4 linked regions of the Arabidopsis thaliana genome follow. The protein of the gene in region 3 interacts with the protein of the main gene of each other region in a pairwise test. Each region holds a gene or a part of one and is shown on either strand. Other genes may lie near its edges. The genes, in order: GATL4, AT5G10350, nPAP and PABN1.

Region 1 (5,132 bases), on a different chromosome or scaffold from region 3:
CCTCTGCTAGAATCCGATTCCTGTCTTTAACAGCGAGAACCGCCCTCGAATCTCCTACATTGGCAACATAAATCTTATCCCCAACAACAAGAACCGTAATGGCAGTAGTACCACTCATCGAATCGTCGATTTCACTATCGTGTAACTCTTCATTAACCCTCAAAAAAGCAGACTTGTAAGCTTTCTCCGGATCCTCAAGCAGAGTTGGGTCTTCAGACAACATTTCCACAACCCTCTCCTTAACAAAATTCGAACACTGCGTACCCAACACACCGTGACCATCAAAGACACCGAAGAAATGAACATTCGGGTTACCTTGAAGCTCTGTTTTGATGCAGTAAGTGTCTTGATTCTCCTTATCAGGTGAGTCAGGGTAATAGCCTCGTTGAGATAACACAGAGTAAACCATATCGAAATTAGGAGAAGGAACGTGAATAGATCCAAGAGGTTTCTGATCTTTCCCCTTAAGAACACCATTGGCTTCTAAAGGTCCACGAGAATCTCCATCTGATGATGACGAAGGATATCGGCTACAACATTTGCATTGAACACAACCCATAACGCAGAAAAACAGATTCGATTGCACAAACAAAAAAACGTGCTTTCCTTGAAAAATCTTTAGCTTCAAGCTGGGGCTAGAACAAGCAATCTCTAGGGAAACGAAATTCGTGGGATTCAACAATGGCGTCCAGAAAAGTGTAGGGTTTTGCGAATGTCATGTTAAACGCGGCAAAATCGAAAAAGGAAAGACGAAATTGGAACCCAAAGGCAGAATCTTTAATGGAAAAAAATGGAGGAAGAGGAAGAAGAGAAACAAAGGTTACAAAAGAGGAAAAATTCGTAACTTTATCTTGTTGCTGCTGTTGTTCGAATTCTTCTTTCTTTTTTCACCTTGGTGGTCTTCCTCAACCTTTGTTTTTTCCCTTAAAGGGTTATTTCGTCAACCCTTTTAAGAGAAAGCGTCAAAAATTTGAGAAACCCTAAAATGCCCAAAGCAGAGGAATTTGTTCCTGAAGAAAGAATAAAAAGAGAAGAAGACGAAGAAGAAGAGAGAGAGAGAGAGAGAGAGAGATGAAAGAATATTGGTTTGGTGGATCCGACGGATGGAGTACACGGGTGGGTTTGGCCTCTGCCACAGCCGCGCACGAGTTCCCAAATCAAACCAAAAACTTTTTGAGATTATCGATGCTTTCTTTTCCTCGAGATAATTCCTTACTTTTCTCGTTTATTTTCTCCCCGTTTCGGGTCGGGTATCATAACATTTTCTCGACCCGATAATCCATGAAAATATTGAAAACCTAATGGGCCTAAGGCCCTGTGAATTAGGTAGCTATCACATTACCATACAACATGGTAAAAAATGTAAAATATAAAGGATTACTTAGTAAGTGTAATTTACCTCGAGACCATGTATGACATGGTGAGTCCAATCCATATATCCACTGTTTATGAAACAGTCTTTTTTTTTTGTGTACATGAAATTATGAGTTCACTGATTTAGACCAATTACATGGAACTAGAGAAAGAAATCTTCTACCACTCAAGCAAGAAAGATTCGACTCGATTTCTATTTGTCTTATCTGCAAATGGCTAGTATTGGTGAAAGAATAAGTTTGAACTCAAATATTTGTAATCGAAAGAGTTTCAAGAGATCTTCTCTCTGGTTCATATATTATTTATATATATGGATTAGTATTAGGCATGAGAATGACCGATTGACACGCGACTGTCTTAGTAGCCATGCATGAAGATTGGAGTATATAAGACATTTTTCTTTTCTTGAAACGTGGAGTAACACACACTTTCTTAAGTTAGTTTCTTACTATTTTACTTAACTTTTGGAATTACAGATTTTACCAGTACCACTATATATATGATGAGATCGTATGATGTTATCAGGGATTTGATCACATAAAAATCATTATTTTCTTGCATGAAAAGCATGCATTAATACATTTTAGGGGAGTTTGTTACAGTATTCTAATTTTGGTACTTCCAAAAAGGAAAAAAAAAAACCCGCCGACGCAATCAAGTGTAAAAAGAAATGACAGCAAAGCAAATTGATCAGACCAATTTTGTCCTAAAAATAAACAATAATTTTTGTTTCCAAAAAAAAACATAAACCAGTTTCTAAGAATCTAAAGAAGAAGAAACAAAATCTAAAAATTCACTCCGATTTCATTGGACAACAGACTTGTCTTGTTCCTATTTCATAGGAAATGGATTTTTTTTGGAGACAAAATTTTGTGTGAGAAACAGTCCGAAGTTCAATCTCTTCCCCACATTTAGACTGCTAATAAAACAAGCCTCTCCCCAAATCCTTTATTCTAGCCTTTCCCTAACAATGGCTCTATTAACTAATCAATCTTTTTAATTTGTAATGTTTAAACCTTTTTTAAAAAAAAATTAAAAAAAAAAGTGAAAATAATAATAAAAGAGTTTACCTGAGAATTAGGTTCAGGATGGCCTCAAGGAGCCTCTCCTATACACAACTCCTAGGCCTCCTGTCCTTTATACTCCTCTTGGTCACAACCACCACTATGGCGGTTCGTGTTGGAGTCATTCTTCATAAGCCTTCTGCTCCAACTCTTCCTGTTTTCAGAGAAGCCCCGGCTTTTCGAAACGGTGATCAATGCGGGACTCGTGAGGCTGATCAGATTCATATCGCCATGACTCTCGACACAAACTACCTCCGTGGCACAATGGCTGCCGTTTTGTCTCTCCTTCAACATTCCACTTGCCCTGAAAACCTCTCTTTTCATTTCCTGTCCCTTCCTCATTTCGAAAACGACCTTTTCACCAGCATCAAATCAACCTTTCCTTACCTAAACTTCAAGATTTATCAGTTTGATCCAAACCTCGTCCGCAGCAAGATATCGAAATCCATCAGGCAAGCCCTTGATCAGCCTCTTAACTACGCAAGAATCTACCTCGCGGATATCATCCCTAGCAGCGTTGACAGGATCATCTACTTAGACTCAGACCTCGTTGTGGTAGACGACATAGAGAAGCTGTGGCATGTGGAGATGGAAGGTAAAGTGGTGGCTGCTCCCGAGTACTGCCACGCAAACTTCACCCATTATTTCACAAGAACTTTCTGGTCAGACCCGGTATTGGTCAAAGTTCTTGAAGGAAAACGTCCGTGTTATTTCAACACAGGGGTGATGGTTGTGGATGTAAACAAATGGAGGAAAGGAATGTATACACAGAAGGTAGAAGAGTGGATGACAATTCAGAAGCAGAAGAGGATATACCATTTGGGATCATTACCTCCGTTTCTGCTGATATTCGCCGGTGATATAAAAGCGGTTAATCATAGGTGGAACCAGCATGGTCTAGGAGGTGATAATTTCGAAGGAAGATGTAGAACGTTGCATCCGGGACCGATAAGTCTTCTTCACTGGAGTGGAAAAGGGAAGCCATGGTTAAGACTAGATTCAAGGAAGCCTTGTATCGTTGATCATCTATGGGCACCGTATGATCTGTACCGTTCATCAAGACATTCATTAGAAGAGTAGAGAGGCAAAAGAAAAAAACCATTAAACATGGCACATATAGGAGAGGAGAAGATACAAAAGAAAGCAGGGGTTTTTAGCGATCAAAGAGAGCCAAAAATGTTTCATTACAAAGTGAAAAAAAGTTGTAATGTTAAACACATTGTTGTGCATTTGAGCTCAGAGTGTGTTTCATCACAAGAAGAGATAGATGGTATTATCATCATCATCATTTTTTTTTTCTCCTTTCTTCGGTTTTGTTTCCCTCTCTTTGATTCAAACCTTTAGAATATTCCTCGTGTAATATACATAGGTACAAACAAAATGGAGGATTAAATTCATTCTTTTTATAAACAGAGAATCGAATCTAAATTGTTTACAAATCATCAAAACTTTATCACTAAAGAAAAAAGATCCGACACAGAAACTAGCGACACTGTTTCGAAATTCCGGTTACAGACAGTGGCTGTCTGAAATCAATCTACATCAATCCAGAACAAAACAGGAAGACAATAAGTTTTACCAGAATTAAGGCGAGAGACGTCACAAATCTGCAGGATTCTCCAACAAGCAAGCATAAGGAACTTTTGGCCGGTATAGTTTTGTCCGCTTCGGTCTCGGTTTAGTGGAATTCCCGACGACAAGCTTACACCGCCGATCAATTTCGTGTCTTTCTTTGGGTTAGATTCCGGTGTCTGGTAATGGCGAATCACTAACTAACGGATTCTCTGATTTGTAACTAACATAACGCGGGAAAAAAACTAAAGGACGAGCAAACCAACCTCAGCTGATTATTAGAGAAAAATATTGATATACAGAAGAACCCTAGATACCTCCGATCCTCGAAATCGATTTGTATCTTCAGGGGAAGAATAAATGTGTTTCCTTTTTTCAAATCTGTAAAATTTATAATGATAAAGATGACTTTTTTATTATTATTATTAAATTTGAGTTGAGACTCGAGACCATGTCCTTTGGAAAGTTAATAAAAAACAGAGTATTTTTTAAGTAATGTTATTACATTTGGTCAAAAATAAAGGTGGAGCTTTTTTGCTTTGCTTCTTCTCATTCTCTCTCTCTATCTCTATATGTATCTCTGTCTATCTTCTTCTTCGTTTCAAGCCCTAAATTGTGTATCTTCTTTGTTGCAATCTTCTCTACGAAGAGAATGGTGAAGAGGGTCAAGAATTGAGAGACTCCAAAGTGAAGTCTAATCGGCACACAAACTTGAAGCCTTTCCGAGCGGTCTTGCAATCTCCGTCGTGTTAATTAAAGGAAGGGTTTTGCGTTTTCTTTCCTGATTCGGTCGCTTCTATGGACATGGAGAGGTAATCTTCGGAGGACAATACATTTCAGATATGTGTTTCGATTAGTTTTTTTGTCTTTTTTTCTCCCTCAAATTTCATTTCTTTTTAGCTTCAATTAAATTCAGATACGGGTTATGATTAATCTGCACTTCTCTAGTTGTCTGATTATATCTTCTCATTGTTTCTTCTTTAGGAGTTTTCCATTTTTGCGTTTTTTGGTTACATAAAAAAAAAAAAGAATGCGAGGCTAATTAGAGATCTAAGCTTAGGTGTGAGATACATAATCTTTCAGTAGCTATCTGTCTTTGTTTTGTATTTACTGTTTTCTGTG
Region 2 (5,750 bases), on a different chromosome or scaffold from region 3:
CCATCTTTTTCTTCTCATCAATTCTGTTCTCGTTTATCTCTTTGTTATTTCGTTTGATTCAATCGATTTTGGTTTGTGTCGCAGTTCAACGTCGCCAATCCGACCACCGGGTGTCAAAAGAAACTCGAGATCGATGACGATCAAAAACTGTAAGATCTTTGCTTTAAATCACATTTTCTTCATGGATTTGTTTACATTTGGCTTATTGAGTGTAGAGTGTGAACAATCTGCTATGAAGTTCGTAAAATTCTTTGAATCCAAACCTTTGAATCGTAGGATAGTTACTATTTCACACTGCTAGGATCTGTTTATAGCTGATGCATTACTGGAATCTATGATGTTTACTGCGTTGGTCTGATATATAACCAGTTCTGAATCTGAAAATCAACATTGTCGATTTTGGTAAAGATATTGAGTTTCATTTCTGTTGTTTTGATGCAGCCGCGCCTTTTTCGACAAGAGGCTCTCTCAGGAAGTTAGCGGAGATGCTCTAGGCGAGGTGAAATTTTTTCTCCTGGTTCAGTGTTTTTTTCTGATGTCTTGTGAGTTCAGTATACTTAACAGAATTGTGTGTGTTTTGAGCTATTTGCAGGAATTCAAGGGATACGTATTCAAGATCATGGGAGGATGTGACAAGCAAGGTTTCCCAATGAAACAAGGAGTTCTCACTCCAGGGCGTGTCCGTCTTTTGCTTCACCGAGGTACTAGATTCCACCCCATTGATAAAATTATACAGCTTCTCTTTTTTTCATTAATCTTCTGTGTTTTTTATTTATGTGATCTGGTTATTGTGTTTAGGTACTCCTTGTTTTAGAGGACACGGAAGGAGGACTGGAGAGAGGAGACGAAAGTCTGTCCGTGGTTGCATTGTGAGCCCTGACCTGTCTGTTCTTAACTTGGTCATTGTGAAGAAGGGTGTAAGTGATCTTCCCGGGCTTACCGACACTGAGAAGCCAAGAATGAGAGGTCCCAAGAGGGCATCAAAGATCCGCAAGTTGTTTAACCTTGGAAAAGAGGATGATGTGAGGAAGTACGTTAACACTTACCGCCGTACCTTCACAAACAAGAAGGGTAAGAAAATTAGATTCACTTAAAGAGATAATTGAAAACTGTTTATACGATTGATGATTTACTAATATATGAGGCTTCCATGTGCAGGCAAGAAGGTTAGCAAGGCTCCTAAGATCCAGAGGCTTGTGACTCCATTGACCCTCCAGAGGAAGAGAGCTAGAATTGCTGACAAGAAGAAGAGAATCGCCAAGGCTAACTCTGATGCAGCTGATTACCAGAAGCTTCTTGCCTCCAGACTAAAGGAGCAGCGTGATCGCCGTAGTGAAAGTTTGGCCAAGAAGAGGTCTAGACTCTCTTCTGCTCCTGCTAAACCCGTTGCTGCTTAAACTGCCTCAAGATTAAGAAATTTCTTTCTCTCTAGTTTGTTTCTGGTCGTATTTAAGTTGCTCCACAGACATGAGAACGCCATTTTGAACACTATTTTTGGTTTCTGTTTTGTGTCAACTTTTCAAGCCTTTTATTATATCAAAGTTTTGAACCTCTTAGTAGTACGTTTGTTATATTTAGTTCTTATTTATATGCCCGTTTGTTGATAGTAAATGACCAGATGTCTTCATTATTAGATAAACTGATGACCTACCTTTAAAGTGTTTTTTCCAAAAAGTGTAATGTTTTGAACCAAAACTCAATCTCGATTAAACTCTTTTAATATGGAGACCCGTCGCTGAAGACTGACTCCTTTCTTCAAGCTGGTGTTGATCGGAGACTATGGAGTCGGAGAATCGCTTCTACTGTCTCCTTATGCCATCTTCGCCGAAATCCTCTGTTTTACAACAGTGGTAAGTAAAAAACTAAAAAGGTTGGAAGAAGACGAAGAACTTTGCTTAACTGCAATTAAAATTTATTTATTTAACAAATGGCTGTAGATATGTTTTGGGGAAAAGTCATTCTTATCAATACCTTTGGAATAATTTGGATCAAACTGTATCATATTTTTGTGGATAATTTGTCTCTGATATAAATTAATCTGATCCATATTATGCAGTATTATTTCACAGACCTCTTAATTTGGTCCATAAATTTAATTTGATCCATGATATAATTTGATAAATTATTCACAAGCCTGTTTCTTCCATAATGTTTGGGGCCTATGATGGGCCGAATTGAATTTTGAAGAAAAATCAAAACCTTCAGATTCAGTTAGAGTGTTATGATAATGGGCTCTTGTAAGTTTGTAACCGAGGCCCAATACGAGACGACGTCGTTGTTTGCAATCGACCTATCTGGATCGGTAGGAAAAGTGTGCAAGTCGTTTTCATTCACCAAAGCGAAGCTTTATTCGTTTGCTTGAGCTCCGAAGAGTGGAAACAAAAATGGAGGAAGAAGAGCACGAGGTTTACGGTGGAGAAATCCCTGAAGTCGGCGATACGGATGTTCCCGATCCGGATATCGATATGTCTGCAGCCGATGAGGACGCCGTTACGGTCTACTTCTGCTTCGTTCGATTTTGATTTTGTTGTATATCGTGTGTATACATCTGTTTGATTTTTGGTGTTTTGATTTCATGGAATCAGGAGCTTGCTGAGATGAAGAGGAGATTAAAGGAGATGGAGGAAGAAGCTGCTGCGCTACGAGAGATGCAAGCAAAAGTCGAAAAAGAAATGGGAGCTACTCAAGGTTTTGTGACTCTTTCGTTTTTTTTTTGAATTCGTTTGCTCGAGACTATCTTTGAATTTGATATACTAGGAGGAATCTGTTGATTGTGTAGATTACTTTTAGGAAATTGAACTTCTGTTTCTTGCTTAACAATTTGTTTCAGATCCTGCTAGTATGGCTGCAAATCAAGAAGGAAAGGAGGAGGTGGATGCTCGATCAGTTTATGTTGGCAATGTAAGATAGCTTATTTTCTACTTCATGGTATCTCTTCTGTGCTTGAATCATTGTTTCATCTAAACGGCTTTGATCTGTTTGCCAATCTTAGTGTGGATTAGCTTAGGCTGACTATTTTGTTAACTTAAATTTCATCTTTGATAAAAGAACTGCTTGCAATTGTGTCTTAGCTTTGTTCTTTATCCCTTGAGATTACTGTTAGAATCTGTATCAAGAGGCTTTCTCTAAATTTAATGTTGTGAAGTAGGTTCTTTATTGTTTCTAGTTGAAGAGTTTGACCTCTATGTCCTATATAATCGCAGGGTTGTTCTCATAAATGAAGTTCTTAATAGCTCTGGGTTCTCAACTAAGTTTTGTGACTGTTTTGCTAGTTTCCTTGTTGTAGTGTTAAAATCATTCTTCCCGTGCAATTTGATGATAAAAAAGCTATAAAAAAAATGTTGAAAGTAAAAAGAAAAGAGAAGGAAAAAAATTTGAAAAAAAAAAAAAAAGATATAGCAGAAAAATGTGGAGAAAAATATTGCATGAGCTTGAAAAAAAAAAGAAGGATTTCTTGAGAGGAAAAAGGGAGTCTGAGTGAGTTGGGTGGGATTAGAAAGCAAGGTTTCTGTTATCCTTGAGGAGATGGTCTCTGAACTCTGAAGAGCTGGATCAAGATGCCAAGATGCTGGATGCTTTCTAAACAAGACCCAAAGCTCCGCAGGGAGGATACTTGGAGCTAATACAGGTTTGGTTGTTTGCGGATTTCGCGAGAGGCTGCAGTTTGATGCTGGCCTTTTATCATGTATTTTTGAACTCACGCTCATAAAATGAAGACTTTCATAGCGTTTATGTACCATACATAACTTAGGTCTAATGTTAGACATGGAAAATTGCTTTAGAACACACAAGTTTGTCTCTTGGCTTCCCTTAGTGGGGTGGTTAACTTATCTATCTGTTACGTTCTCAGTAAGTCATGGTTTTAGTTGTAATAAGAATGCTTGTGTTGTACTAAGACCTCATTATCCACCCTGCAGGTCGACTATGCCTGTACACCTGAAGAAGTGCAACTACATTTCCAAACATGCGGAACAGTCAACCGGGTAACCATTCTAATGGACAAGTTTGGACAGCCAAAGGGATTTGCTTATGTGGAGTTTGTAGAAGTGGAAGCCGTGCAAGAAGCTCTGCAGCTGAATGAATCAGAGCTTCATGGTCGTCAACTGAAGGTATCTTCTCGTACTAAGACCAATACTGAAGGAAATGGACAGTTCATTGATCTCAACTCTTCTCTTTTGGTTTTCATTTCAGGTCTCGCCTAAGCGAACCAATGTTCCTGGAATGAAACAGTATCATCCTGGGCGTTTCAACCCTTCAATGGGATACCGCTTTCGCAGACCCTTTGTGCCTCCGTATTTTTATTCCCCATATGGATACGGGTAAGTTTAAACTCTGCATATTTACCATCAGTTTATCACAAATGGCTTTCTCTTCTTCGTCTCACGAGACTCGGCAATGCCTCGTGCAGGAAGGCTCCTAGGTTCAGAAGGCCAATGCGGTACATGCCTTACCAATAGAAACCGTACCGGAATAAGAAGAACTATGACAGAGATGATGCCGAGGTCGTCCCTCCATTTCGAGCTTTATATATGAATATGACTTTGCTCGCACCTGAACTTAATTTTGAATCTGTCATGTACGGATGAGATTATAAGCTTTTGTTTCTTTAGATTATGATTATATTTGGTCGATATTACTTTCAGTTTATATCTTTGTTAGTACTTTCTTTCATCCAAAGGGGGCTAAATAAGTATACCAACAAGAAGATTGATGTTACGTAGAGAAGCCTTTGTAAGAAGCTATTATGTTTCCGCAAAAAATCCCTTAGTCAGAAGCTAACCTTTACTAATCAATGATGTATGGTATAATCAAATCCCTTATTCCTTATAGTATTTGTTATCTTTTCGGTTTGGAGAATCGATGATTACAGAGTAAAAAAAAGAATAATGTTTTTTCTTCTCGTCATTAGTACTTTTGATGTATGGTATAATCAAAACATTAAATTTATGAAAATTTGTAATGTGATGTTGATATTGATAAAACATAGTAATTCATAACCCAGTGAGTAAACTAATCAGAAACTAGAATGCTTGGACAAATAACGACCAAAAAAGAATGCTTGGACAAATAACCAATCATTCAAGTCTACAAAATAGAAATTAAACTCGGGAAATAACAAACAACAGTTGCACAGCGATTAGATGTGTAAGGCAAATCATAAGATTTGGTATCTGGATCATGTGTTAGGAATGCATCCCCGTGTGTACTATCATAAAACAATAACTTGTCCTTGTCCAAAACTGCTAGTGGGGTGAATGCGAATATGGCACTAAAGAACAAAGAAGAGGTGATAATGAGGTCTATGGAATATATTTGCTTCCATGTCTTGTGGTCTGAATCATCCAACGACCATATGACTTGGTTGGGCCACTTTTGCTCGGATACGCACAAACGATCACCGAGGTTGCACATGACGATATAATATTCATCAGAGACATTGAGAAAGGGAGCTTTAGAGATGACTTGGAACGTTTCGGAGTGAAGATCCAAAGACAAAACCATGGTTTCGCCCTCGTGTGACAAGGCAGTGAACCAGTGAAGTGACCCGTCTACATAAACAGGATCTTGGGTGTGAAGAATCAGATGAGGGGACGCGGGGAAAACGTACCTCCAAGCGTTGGTGGCAAAATCGAAAACTTCACAAGTAGTAGGCTTGTCATTTAGGTCTAACTCAGCGGAATTATATAACCAAACTGGCTTGTAAGTGCCACTGATTTTGTCTTTGCCAAATCCAGGAGTAGGGCATGCGA
Region 3 (7,520 bases):
AGTCAATATATATTGAAAACATTGAAAGGGCTACTGTTTCATCTTACTCTTCAAACCTTTGGCATGCTGTATTAAAGATAATTCAACCAAACAAGACATATCTCCACAAAAAGTGTTTGGTCTCGGTAGGAATTCCAACCATTCATGTTTTCAAATACAGAGCTCTTGTACTTATTCATGGTCCTCTATATTTTAAGTGACGCTTTGAACTTGTATTTGGAACTAGCAGATCCGACACATTTAAATTTGAGAATCTGTCTTTCCCGGTTCAACCACCAATTATTCCAATTCCTCTATAGATTTTCCATCATATTACATCATAAGAAAAAAAGAAACAGTGTTTTGACTTTGATATAGATCAGAAACCTTTATTTTAAAGCCTTTCATTGCAACTACTCTCACTTAGTTTTGACAGCATAACTCCAAAAACGAGAGACAAGGAGGCATAGATCTTATATACATAAACCGCAAAATAAAATTAAAAAAACACAAACGATTCAAGTCAAAGCCCTAAGAGGACCAGAGTCTGAAACAGCCGAATAATAAAAAAAAAAAAGCATTCATCATCCAGACATTATATAAATCATTTCAATCTTCAAGTTATGATCCTGATGACGCATATTGAGCTTTGGTCATCATCCAAGCTCACTCAAAATACCACCACCAATGCTTTCTCTGCCTATACCTTCTTTTCTCTTTTGGTTACCTTTTTTTTTTTAACTTAATTCTTTTTTTTTTTTTTGAATTTTTCAAATGTCATTTTTTAACTTTTTTTTTTCTTTTTTCTTTTTTCCATATTAAAAATTCACTTACCAAAAGCTTCTGGACTCTGTCGTCTGTCCAACGCAACAATTTGAGTTGAAATCCCCCGTTTTCTTCACGTCAATAGCCTAGAGGACGTTCACACAGTGGACTTTAAGCTTAACCTGCTTGTGCTATAAAAGCACCAATGAAACCAAATACACAACAAGAATAACATAAAGAAATCATGACTTTGCATAACACACATGCCTTATCTGTGACTTCTGGAAAGATTCTGACCTAGCTCTGTCTTCCGACTTCTCCATCCCGCTCACCAAAGAGTTTGACTAAGACAAGACAAGATTACGAGCAACAACATAAGTTAGTTTTATTCCTTACAAAACTTAATCAAAGAGAGAAAAGTCTAATTCAATAAGTTTCAAGCGGAGTTGCTTTGCAGTGCAGGACCTGCCAATCATATATATGCACTAGTTAGGCGGTATGCAGCAGAAATCACACAAGGCAAGTTATAACACAGCAGAAACATTGACCTCTTAAGTAGTACTGTTTATGGACAACCATCAAATTTCAAACTTAGCTCCATCCTATGTTTCTTGACACTATGAAACCAGTATGAGATTCCATGTAGTGTGGAGAATTGATGCTCGCATATCATTGGACATTCATTTTTAAACCAGCTATTAAATATTTTCAACAGAACTAATCTTATGATAACTACTGTGAGGTAGCTTAATAACCTGAAGGTCTTCCGACATGCCGCTTTGAGAGTACAAGTTTTTCTTTCCCATAGGATCTGAATTTGCAGCAGGAAACCCGAAACCCTGTAAAAACTCATCATTACTATGCCCGGTATGTTCAAACAATTATTGCCAATTTCTGATAACACACCAGAACCCCCAAACATATACAAAAAGAAAAAAAAAACTAACCTCATAATCACGGTTCTGCCCACAGGATCTGCTCGGAAGAAGTGGGGAGTCAGTACCACTGATGGATACAGACCTCAAATTACGATCTAAGTTTTCTTCCTGCCCACTTACACATGCTACCACATCAACAGAGTCAGGTGTTACACACTTTCCCAAAGGCTCAGCAGGATCAGAGCATTCTTGAACTACAGCCATACTATCTACTTCAAGAACTTGCTCGCTGCCAGAGTTACACTCATTTCGAGCTAAGTCTGTGAGTTCAGTACACTCAGTGTTCAAATTATCAGCTTCTATTTCCTCGCTTGGTGGCCTTCTAAGGTTGCAAACAGGAGGAGTCCAACCAGTTGTGATAGCACTATTTTCAGGAGAAACTATATCTAGACTCTGTGGACTAAGAGATGCACGCTTCTCAGGTTTCTCTGGCCTCACATCCATCATTTCACTATCGTTCTTTCGCTTGGCATGCCTCTCCACCACAGAGCCGGAATGAGAAACACTGCCATCTTCACCAGATTTTCCACCCGGTAGATTTTGGTGCCTGGACTGCCGAGGCCTTCGATATCCATTAGGGAAAACAAAAGGTGGAAGCTGTCGTCTACGAACATGAGAAACGAAAACATCCATCCCAGGTTTCCAAAACATATACATGTTTACTTCTTGTCTGAACTCATCGACAGTACCACGTATATCAAACTGTTGACATTCTTGACCCCCAACTCCCTCTGCCCTCTGCAAGCCCATGAAAAAGGCACAATGCAGAAACTGCCTAGCCGTGTCTACATACTCATTTGGTTGGGGATGGCACATTAACATCCCATTAGTGTCTCTTTCTATCTGCATTATTGAATGAAAAGAAACAAAATCGAGAAACATTTAATAATTTTATATTTTCTACCACAACAAATATGATTAAACACTGATATACAGCAGGTTTATTACTGTAAATCAAATGAAAAGAGGAGGCTATCAACCTTTAAGGTCAGCTGTCTGAACCGCGACTCCACCCAACCCTTCCAAGCCAATAAATCTTCTGCATCTGCTGCCACTATATCAACCTGAAGGTAGTTTTTGTATGCCTCGAAAAACATATATTGTTCAAATAAAGAGCTCCAGTGCTGTTTATTTAATTCAATCTCCTGCATTAAAAATCATGCATAAGTATAGGATCCTGAATAAATAGTTGAGATAACAAGTCAAAAGTTTTGCTCACTTACCTGCAAGATATTGTTACCAAACTGGAACTGCTCTGTCATAACGCGAAGAGTGCTTTGAGAGACATTGTAACTAGAATTCATGCATGGGTAAGCTGGAGTTATTATTGGCATAAGGTGATAGCGGTCGCGATGATTCTTACGACGGTCCCAGACAGGAAATCCAAGCTCATCCTCTTCTATTGCACAAAGCATGACTGGGTTCGGCCACCGCCATTGAGTATATACTCTAAAAAAACGAGAAACCAGCATACTAGGAATTGCATTTGGATAAAGCTGGCAGACACGAGCAACCAAAAGTGCCCAGTTTACACCGCCAAGAAATCCAGTCACCTGCCCAATATGAGAAATATGACAAGAGCTTAGACATGAAAGTTTTCAATAAATACGAATTTCAGAAAGCTATGATCTTACATTTGAATACACCCCACGCTTCTTAGCCCAGTACTTCAGGCATCTTAAGGTTGTCCGGAAGTGCTACAATTGCACATAAGATAAGAGAAGGTAACCATAGTTCATTCATATGTTAACATAATGACTGGCATTCTGTGAGTTTACCTCAAAATTTGGAACGAGTTTAAGAATCTGATCAGCAACTCTACAACCATTAAGACTTCGAACGGTTGGCTCATCAACTTCACACAGCACAGAAGAGCTGGAGATATCCAGATCCTGTCGATAAACCAAATCCATGAAAACAAGAAATTTGATTCAGCAAGAGATTGTAATCTACCATGACAGCTCACGGGCTCAGTTTTCATATAAAAATCAAAACCGATGCACCAAAATAGCCAGCAAACTTTTCAGATCTCTCTCTCAAGCCAGAAACTACTAAAATAAATTTGTTTACTATATAAGCCATTGAGGATGAGTAATACACTATCTGTCTCCATCAACATGCAAACAAGCACAACATATAGCATAATATATACAAGCTAATATAAATTTATCAGACCCTACAGCTTCAGCAAAAACAAAGAAAGATACAATAAATTCACAGAAAATTACCTGTGGCACAACTAAAAGTGATATGCTAGCATAGAGCAGATCAATCGGTATTCCTTGAAACTTAAATTTCATGACCGGAACATGGGCATCGGGAACAGGATGGAGCTCAGTCACTTCTTCCATCTCAGCCAATATATCATGCAAGATGATGAAGAAATCCTCCTGTAAAGAGTAAGTGTTAAGAACTAAAGAATCAAACTTCTGCATCAATAAGTGGTAGCAAGAGTCACCTCCCGGTTAACATAAGATGGCCCAACACACAAAGTATCAATGTCAGCCCCAGGACCATGCACCTGCAAAGTGAACAAAATTGAAGTCGGTTCAGCCTCAGAGACTAAGATTGCATTTGCATAGACAAAAACAGAGCGATCTCTCGAGTAATCCACAAACATATAGCAAAAAACATATTATACGCATTTTAGCTTCAAGATAAAAGCAAGGAAGCGGTAAACAAGTAGCACTTACGCCAAGTCGGTAGGATCCAAAGGTGAAAATGACAGCATTTGCATCTTCCACCATCTGATCAGTATATCCTCTTTGCTGCGTTAACTGTTTCACCCAGTGCTTTACAATCTAAAAAAAAAAGGTGGGAGATAAGATTGATAGTTTCAGACAAATAGCACAATGAACAGCATGTGAAGAAACTTAAAAACAGCAAAGTAAATCAATGGACATAAGAACATATGCCTGACCAGTCTATTTCATATTGAACTATGATCTATGCTTAGCCCAAAATCAACAACCATACACGAGTAAGAACCAATACAATGAAACCTAAAAGACCATTATAAACACAATAATTTTATTCTTGTCGATTCAGACACCCAATTAGCACAACCATCAAAAGATAACACTTGTAAATATACAGAACAAACAATCAACGAGACACGCTGAGTCACCTGATCGATGCGTCCTAGAACTTCCTCTCGCCGCATGGTATCATCCTTGCTCTCGTAGAGTCCCTCATCAACCAAGTACTTGAGCATATAAGAAAATACACATCAGATAAGCCAAATCAACGAATCCTTTAAACAGTGGAACAATTTTTGTATAAACAAAAAAACAAAGCTTTACCTTCTCCAGCTCCACATTACGCTTAATATCCGCCGAAGAAGGCCCAGCAAGAGAGAGCGGCTTCGTAATTCCATAGCTTTTAGGAGAATTCAGCGGCGGCAACGAACCACCTAAATTTTGAGTACCCACCATCATAACACGATTGATAATCCTAAGCGATCAAAGCAGAAGCGCAGCACAAAAACATAATCTCGCTTCACGATATGATTAGAGGGAGATCGGATCAGACCCCCAGGTCAAGATGGATTCGAGACGGGAATTGCACAAGGAGAGGAAACAAATAAAAAGGAGATTTTGAAAATCGGAAACCCTAAATCGATGGAAGGGGAAAGAGACTACGGTGTCAAAAAAAGTCAAAGAAGAAGGAGAATCTGAAAGAGGTTAAATCGATGGACTAGGAACAGAGAGAAGAGAGAAAGAGAGAGAGATGATGGATCAAGAAGAAGAAGGAGGTATGAGGGAGATGGAGAGAGAGAGAGAGCAAAGGTTGGGGAAGATATTAGGTACACGGCGATTCGATTTTATAATTAAATTTTGATTAGTGGATTAATGTGTATGATTATTTTACGGAGGGAGCCGATAAGTCTCCGTTCAAAACAAGAAAACATTGTAATCATTTTGAAAACAAATCTAAATTAGATAATTTTGTTCAGATTTTTAATTTAAAGATTTTAATGGGGTTAGTGGGATTATTGGTAACTAGAAATCATGTGTCGATGGAAACCAACTGATTTAAAATCACCATCTGTTAATTTTAATTGATAAAGTTGAAAACTGGTGTGTTGTTTATTAGATTTTGATATAATTTTGATACTATATTGGATTTTAACATATTAAAGTGTTTTTAAATAAAAGATACAAAAGTTTAGGCTGTATATACAAAAGTTTAGGCTGTATATACAAACATGAATTTCAATTAGTGATGTAATAATGGATTTCCTTGATTAAAAATTACAAAGACCCAATTCTCATGGTTTTGTGAGATTGCAAATATTATTTTTTTTTAGTGAGGGAGATTGCAAATATTTTTAATAACAAATAGTAACAACTTTCCTAACTGTCTAAAACTTATCAAATTCATCTAAAATTTATTAATACTCGAATCTTTTCTTTCCAAATATGTAATTCATTATACTCCTAATTGGAGAGGAAACTTTATTATTTTAGAATCCACTTGTTTGATATTTAAATCCTAAATTGATTCATGAAGATTTGTAAAGTTTAGATTGATTTGTTAATCAAATAAAAAGTTTAAACCGATAATTTGATAGTTTAAAAATGATTTTTTCGGACAATTGTGTATTAAGATCTTTTTTTTATACTTAAGCGTTATAAAGATTTGTAAGATAAATTTTCTCCTCTCAGAAATTTGATTTTTAAGCTAAAATAACTATTCGATCTATACATTAGCTTGACATTATTATTTTTACAAAACAAATCAGTTTTTATAAATGCTATTTCTCAACAGGATATGATATTTCTCTCTTTGTCATGAACAATACCATATACTAAGAAAAAATGATTTTAAAAAAAAAAAATCTTAAGAAATTAAAGAATAGAAAAATTGCCTATATATTTTTGACACCAAATAGAGAAATTACTAAGAATATATTTCGTAAATATTAAGATATTCTTATCGTTTAATTTTTGTCATTTTCTTTAAAGGTATAATAAAGATAATTAATGAGATTTTATCCATACTTCTGCATTTATCCACGAATCAATTATCTGAAAACCGGAAATTGACAAAAGGAAAAACCAGCCGCCGTTTACGCTGGTATTTCGGTAATGTCCGTATATCATAAAGTAACGGTGAGCCAAAACGACGTCGCTTTCTCGTTCCTTACTTCTATACCACTCTGAGCTCTGAGAATTAAAACTCACATACATACATACGCTTCAAATTCACAGTCGCTTTACGTCACCGGAGAGAAAAACACTCAGAAGAATAAGGTTTTCTTCGATGGCTTCTAATGGCGTGGACGAGCAGATTAAGTTGGTGGAAGGACCTGCTGGTTATGTACTCGAAGATGTTCCTCATTTGAGCGATTACATTCTCGATCTCCCCGTACTACTTCCTCTCTCTATCTCTATACGATTCCATCGATTATTCTTTGAAATCGACATTTTCATGGATCGGTGGTTATACGATTTACGAATTTGATATTGTTGCCGATTTGGTGGTTCGTGTATAGCAAATGCAAAAGTTGTGTTTGTATAATTGGTTTCGCCTATTTTTAGCCTATATGTTGATTCGGACTGTTGATGAGATCCTGGTCTCTATCAGGGAGAGAATTACATAAATATTTATATTCGTATTAGTGCATACAAATGTGAAATGTTAAATCAATGTCAACGTGGAAATTGATTGGTGCACATATGCTTACTCGTCACCGAATGTTTGATTAGATCTATTAATCACTTACTATTTTCTAAATTTGATGCTAATGTAATGAGGTTCTTATACATGTAGAGTAATGGAAGAATTGGATTGTAAATTAGTCTTGCCATGGAGAAAAAAAAAAGCTTTTTGGTT
Region 4 (4,776 bases), on a different chromosome or scaffold from region 3:
AAACATAGTTCATTTAGTGCAGACTTGAATGATAATGTAGTTAAGAGTATAATTCAGTTCCTACACAAAGCAAAACTTGGAAGATATTATGACAACCAATTATAGTCTTACTTGTATCAATGTCAACTCCAAGAATGCTCCGGCAACCGAACTTTTTTGCTGAAGAAGAGCAAAACAATATCAGCTAACGACTATATAAAATTATGGATGCTGCCAGAGAGATTTCAGACACAATGGAAGTTCAATCACACTTTACTATAGCATTCTCATAAGGACAGGTATAGCTACAACAACATATCTATTACTATAATGGATGGACATAGATAGGAACAAATTATGATATTGATAAGAAGAAGATACCAATATGAATAGTCATGATGCCGCTGTTGCAGCCAATGTCAAGACAGTCTTTGCCTTCAAACCATTCCTTCTTCAACACTTTAAGCCGAGGATCCTCATCCGTGTCATTGCTTATCTAACACATTATGTTGCCAAACGAATCCAAAATCAGATACTAAACCAAAAGATGAGCAGACTATGAAGGAATTTGAAAATATACTACGAAACTCACTCGGTAGCCATAGTAGTTTCTGTAATTTCCGAAGGGATAAACTTCTTGATTCTTCTTCTTCTTGCTTTGATTACAATTTCCTTGTTGTCCTTGTTGTTGCTTCTGCTTCTGCTGTGTTGGGACTTTCTCTTCATTAGCAACTACTTTCTCAACACTCTTCTCATTCTCATTACTTCTGTTTCTCTTCTTCTTATTCTTCTTCTGATCGTTGTCCCGACCCATTTTTTTCTCACACGCGTTGATGAACAAAGCTCGCGAAGTTAGGGTTTCTTCTATGTTATCGCTATCAGCTAGATTCTTAGAATCGAAACAAAACGATTAAGTCTAAACAGAGAGATTCGACGAAGCTAGCTCCTAGAGAGGTTTTTCTTCGAGGTTAAGCGGCGCAGAGCGAGGAGGAAGAAGAAGAAGAAGAACCGAACCGCCTTTGAAAGTCCAAAAGGGTTTAACGAGTCTCATATTTAAGTAATCCTCTCTTTTTTAGTTAATACATTCTTTAAACCTATTTATGTAAATATACGAAAGTTTCCTTTTCTTTCACCGACGTGGCCAAATTAATCTTAGAGAATTAACTTTTGTTTTTTTTTGGTCAATATGCATCAAATCTAGAACAATGGAAGCTTGCGAGTTATTGTGAAATCGTGACTCGTGTTTGAAGATAATAAAAACAAAGGAACTCATCAAAATGTTGCACTTGTCATCAAATATTGTACAGAAAATCTAGAATATAATTCCCCTCTCTCTTCTGCCATACAATTCTTCAACTCATCTCTGTTAATCGAAACAACTGCAGCGTCCGATGAACCGTGTTGATGATGATAAGCTTTCCCGAAAACGGAGAAGCAGCTGCTACTTTTTTAACACCAATTTGCCTAATCAGTACGGTCTGTAGCGCATAGGCCGTCTGAACCTGGGAACTCTCCTGCACAAACCATCAACCATTGTCAATTTTATGAACAACCATGATGAATCAAACAAATGGACTTTAAAAGAGAGGATAGGCAGGTAAGGTTCTAGAACACACCCATAAGCATATGGAGGATAAAATGGAACTCCTGGCATGAATCCCCTCATCGGTCTAAAGGGACGCCCTCTTCCTCGAAATTGCCTCATTCCAGGTACATTAGTCCTCTTTGCAGATACCTGAAAATAGATTAAACAAAGTTTAGTAATGACAAATCGTAATATGGAAAATAATTAACTACATCGTATTGAACGAGTTTGCACCTTTATCTGACGACCATGTAGTTCTGACTCGTTCAAAATAAGCGAATTCTGAACAGCTTCTACTTCCACAAATTCGACATACGCAAAACCTTTAGGTTGACCAAACTTATCTGTCAGAATTGTAACCCTATTCACTGTCCCACATGATTGAAAATGCTGCTGGACTTCCTCTGGAGTACATGCATAGTCCACCTAATATACACAAAAAAACAAAGACACAGGATATCTAAAGAATCAGCTTCACAGATGGGAGATATGAAGGCTTTCTGAAATATGAAGGAAAGTTAGTTTAGCAATTACTAGAGATAAAGAAATAAACAACAAGCAGCCTCCAAATTTCATTGATACCAAAGCAATAAAACACACAAACTTTCTTTAAAAAAGATACAAACATATATGAGAAACATGTGAAAATTAATGGTGGAACAAGCCTCACATTGCCAACATATATTGAACGCGAATCCACTTCTTCCTTCTCAGCCGCACTAACACCACCTGAAGGGTCTTCATTGATATGCAACAACATAAAAGGTATTGACCCAATTAGCTAACTGACAAGACTCCACAATACTATTAATGATTTCCTTCTCATACTCAAACTCCAGTAAATTTCTAGACAGATTCATTGATTCACTAAAAGATTCCAATATGTAAACCCAAAGCAATATCATAATCAACAAGACAAGCTTTAAACCTAATCTATCAATTTAAAGGTTAATGTGAAGCTGCGCACAAAGATTCAAGATTTTACGTATCAGTTAATAAGTACAAACCTTGACTAGCACCCATATCTTTCTCAGCCTTGGCTTGCATTTCACGCAAAGCTCCAGCTTCTTCCTCAATCTCCTTAATTCGTTTCTTCATATCCTCCAAGTCCTATCAAACAATCAAAGCAAATAACAGACTAAATACAGTAAAAAATAAGAAGAGTCTCAATTGGATAAAAGTAAATTATAGATCGAAGAATCACAATACCCTAGAGCTAGAGCCAGGTTCAAGCTCCTCATCTCCGGCGGCGGCACCTTCTTCTCCGCCGTGTTCTTCGTACTCTTCCGTATCCATCTCACCTTCTTCCTCTTCTGGGATCTCTCCACCGTACACCTCATGCTCTTGCTCATCGTGCACCGGCATCTTTCTCTCTCTATATCTCTCACTCGGCGACTGTCGTTAAAGCGAGAAACAGAAGTCTCGGAATTTTAGGGCTTGAAATCGGGAAAGAAGGGAAGGTTTGTTTGTAATTAAAGATACCCAAAAAGGATACTTTCGGAATTATGAAATCTTAAGTAGATTCACCAAAAGTGGACACAAAAGTACAATCAAACCCAATGGGCTTCTCAGATTAAAACGTGACGTGTAAAGTCGGTCCCACGAAAGTTTATTGTGGTTCCCATTAGTCATTAGTGATTACGTGGCACCTCACCCATTTAACTCAGTCCAGTGGTCTGAAAATCGTTTCGCTCTCTAAAAACCAAAACTCTTATCTTCGGTACAGAGCAAATCACAGCTCCCGATGGCCGCCACGTCATCATCACCGCCGTGTAACATCTCCGCGTCCTCCCTCCTCCTCCGTCAACCTTCTCGCTCAATCCTTAAAGTGTTCGGTTTATTACCACCTGTAAGTAGGAATAACCGTAAACTCGGCCGGTTAACGGTGACCCGGTCTAATCTGGCGCAGGATTTTCTTGGTGACTTCGGAGCTCGTGACCCTTACCCGGAGGAGATAGCGAGTCAATTCGGAGATAAAGTGTTGGGATGCCAAAGCACTGAGCACAAGATTTTGATACCAAACGCATCTGTTTTGTCTCTCTCCCAGCTTCAGTGTTCCCCTGTTTCGTCTTCACAGCCTCCTTTGTCCGGCGATGATGCCAGAACTCTCCTCCACAAGGTACTTATACTATTTCTCTCTTAGTATAAAAATGTTCGAGTTTTGATTTTACAAGTTTGTTGGTTGATCAAAATATTGTGAAAATGTTATTGATTCTGCGTTTAACAGATTTCTAATCTATAAAGATAGAATTGTGACCCAAAAATATAGAAAAGCCAATGAAAATTTTAGTATCATGAGGGACATATTAGGAACAATGGTTACGAGATTAAAAAAAAATGAAATGATTAGTGTTGATAAGGCTCATGTTGGTGTTTTGGTTCACGGTTACCACTCTAATGATGTGGTACATCAATCTCAATGATTATTATGTAAACGTTTTAGGTTTTGGGATGGAGTATAGTGGATAATGAAGCGGGTGGTCTGAAAATAAGGTGTATGTGGAAAGTGAGGGATTTTGGGTGCGGTGTTGAACTCATAAACAGGATCCATAAGGTTGCTGAAGCTTCTGGTCATTACCCTTCTCTTCACTTGGAAAGTCCTACCCAAGTTCGAGCTGAACTATTTACCTCTTCTATCGGTATGTCAAATATTTGATGTTCGAGTTTGAGTTTTAATATATGGTTTCTTAAGACGGTTTGTTGGATGAATAATGCAGGAGGGTTGAGCATGAATGATTTCATAATGGCGGCTAAAATAGATGATATCAAGACTTCTGATCTTTCCCCTAGGAAAAGAGCTTGGGCGTGATCTTCTTTTCATTATTTTGGAACATTTTTGTTTGATAGTATGTAATGTATGTGATGTATTCTAAATTGTGTGTGATCGGTCTACATGTCGAGTTATATAGAAAGCATTGTCATAACCGCATAAGAGATATCACGCAACATGTCTTTGAGATTCATTCATCAATCAAAAGAAGAAAGAACATCAATCATATGGAGCACAATATAAGAAATGAGACATTATTATTAGATTAAGACATTATTATTATCATTTCTTCTTCTAGAACATTCTGGGACTAACAAAAAATTCGAAAAAACACAACTACATTTTTGCATTCTAATAGGCGGTGGTGGTTGGAGGACTAGCCATTTTGGAGCATTGGTGTTTCATCATAGGAGGGAAAAACGGGTTGGATGGAAGATTTGGT

What was found.
Region 1: the proteins of nPAP (region 3) and GATL4 interact in a two-hybrid assay, tested with the Arabidopsis thaliana proteins (one study listed by BioGRID).
Region 2: the proteins of nPAP (region 3) and AT5G10350 interact in a two-hybrid assay, tested with the Arabidopsis thaliana proteins (one study listed by BioGRID).
Region 4: the proteins of nPAP (region 3) and PABN1 interact in a two-hybrid assay, tested with the Arabidopsis thaliana proteins (one study listed by BioGRID).

Annotation. Positions count from the first base shown.
Region 1 is NC_003074.8:1,892,190-1,897,321, reverse strand, and holds GATL4 (galacturonosyltransferase-like 4), read left to right. Parts: upstream 1-2,230; 5' UTR 2,231-2,462; coding exon 2,463-3,518; 3' UTR 3,519-4,358; downstream 4,359-5,132. Other genes in the region: AT3G06270 (Protein phosphatase 2C family protein), read right to left, coding at 1-559. UniProt on the Arabidopsis thaliana protein: May be involved in pectin and/or xylans biosynthesis in cell walls.
Region 2 is NC_003076.8:3,254,381-3,260,130, reverse strand, and holds AT5G10350 (RNA-binding (RRM/RBD/RNP motifs) family protein), read left to right. Parts: upstream 1-2,319; 5' UTR 2,320-2,384; coding exon 2,385-2,495; intron 2,496-2,585; coding exon 2,586-2,688; intron 2,689-2,830; coding exon 2,831-2,901; exon of another isoform or gene 2,902-3,917; coding exon 3,918-4,109; intron 4,110-4,191; coding exon 4,192-4,319; coding exon of another isoform or gene 4,320-4,323; exon of another isoform or gene 4,324-4,408; coding exon 4,409-4,457; 3' UTR 4,458-4,895; downstream 4,896-5,750. Other genes in the region: EMB3010 (Ribosomal protein S6e), read left to right, coding at 85-149, 442-499, 593-701, 799-1,071, 1,159-1,397; AT5G10340 (F-box family protein), read right to left, coding at 5,086-5,750. UniProt on the Arabidopsis thaliana protein: Involved in the 3'-end formation of mRNA precursors (pre-mRNA) by the addition of a poly(A) tail of 200-250 nt to the upstream cleavage product.
Region 3 is NC_003075.7:15,847,733-15,855,252, reverse strand, and holds nPAP (nuclear poly(a) polymerase), read right to left. Parts: upstream 5,482-7,520; 5' UTR 5,120-5,481; coding exon 4,985-5,119; intron 4,888-4,984; coding exon 4,810-4,887; intron 4,484-4,809; coding exon 4,376-4,483; intron 4,204-4,375; coding exon 4,141-4,203; intron 4,073-4,140; coding exon 3,911-4,072; intron 3,575-3,910; coding exon 3,461-3,574; intron 3,380-3,460; coding exon 3,317-3,379; intron 3,236-3,316; coding exon 2,906-3,235; intron 2,828-2,905; coding exon 2,663-2,827; intron 2,526-2,662; coding exon 1,692-2,525; intron 1,584-1,691; coding exon 1,500-1,583; coding exon of another isoform or gene 1,443-1,499; exon of another isoform or gene 1,362-1,442; coding exon of another isoform or gene 1,347-1,361; exon of another isoform or gene 1,089-1,346; coding exon 1,008-1,088; coding exon of another isoform or gene 987-1,007; exon of another isoform or gene 936-986; coding exon of another isoform or gene 902-935; exon of another isoform or gene 891-901; coding exon 810-890; 3' UTR 793-809; downstream 1-792. Other genes in the region: PFK6 (phosphofructokinase 6), read left to right, coding at 6,948-7,052. UniProt on the Arabidopsis thaliana protein: Essential protein. Polymerase that creates the 3'-poly(A) tail of mRNA's. Also required for the endoribonucleolytic cleavage reaction at some polyadenylation sites.
Region 4 is NC_003076.8:20,777,913-20,782,688, reverse strand, and holds PABN1 (polyadenylate-binding protein 1), read right to left. Parts: upstream 3,029-4,776; 5' UTR 2,930-3,028; coding exon 2,774-2,929; intron 2,675-2,773; coding exon 2,572-2,674; intron 2,493-2,571; coding exon 2,370-2,492; intron 2,303-2,369; coding exon of another isoform or gene 2,294-2,302; coding exon 2,235-2,293; intron 1,991-2,234; coding exon 1,799-1,990; intron 1,715-1,798; coding exon 1,596-1,714; intron 1,494-1,595; coding exon 1,448-1,493; 3' UTR 1,132-1,447; downstream 1-1,131. Other genes in the region: AT5G51130 (S-adenosyl-L-methionine-dependent methyltransferases superfamily protein), read right to left, coding at 112-159, 361-475, 572-793; AT5G51110 (Transcriptional coactivator/pterin dehydratase), read left to right, coding at 3,309-3,683, 4,008-4,203, 4,282-4,373; AT5G51105 (ECA1 gametogenesis family protein (DUF1278)), read right to left, coding at 4,686-4,776.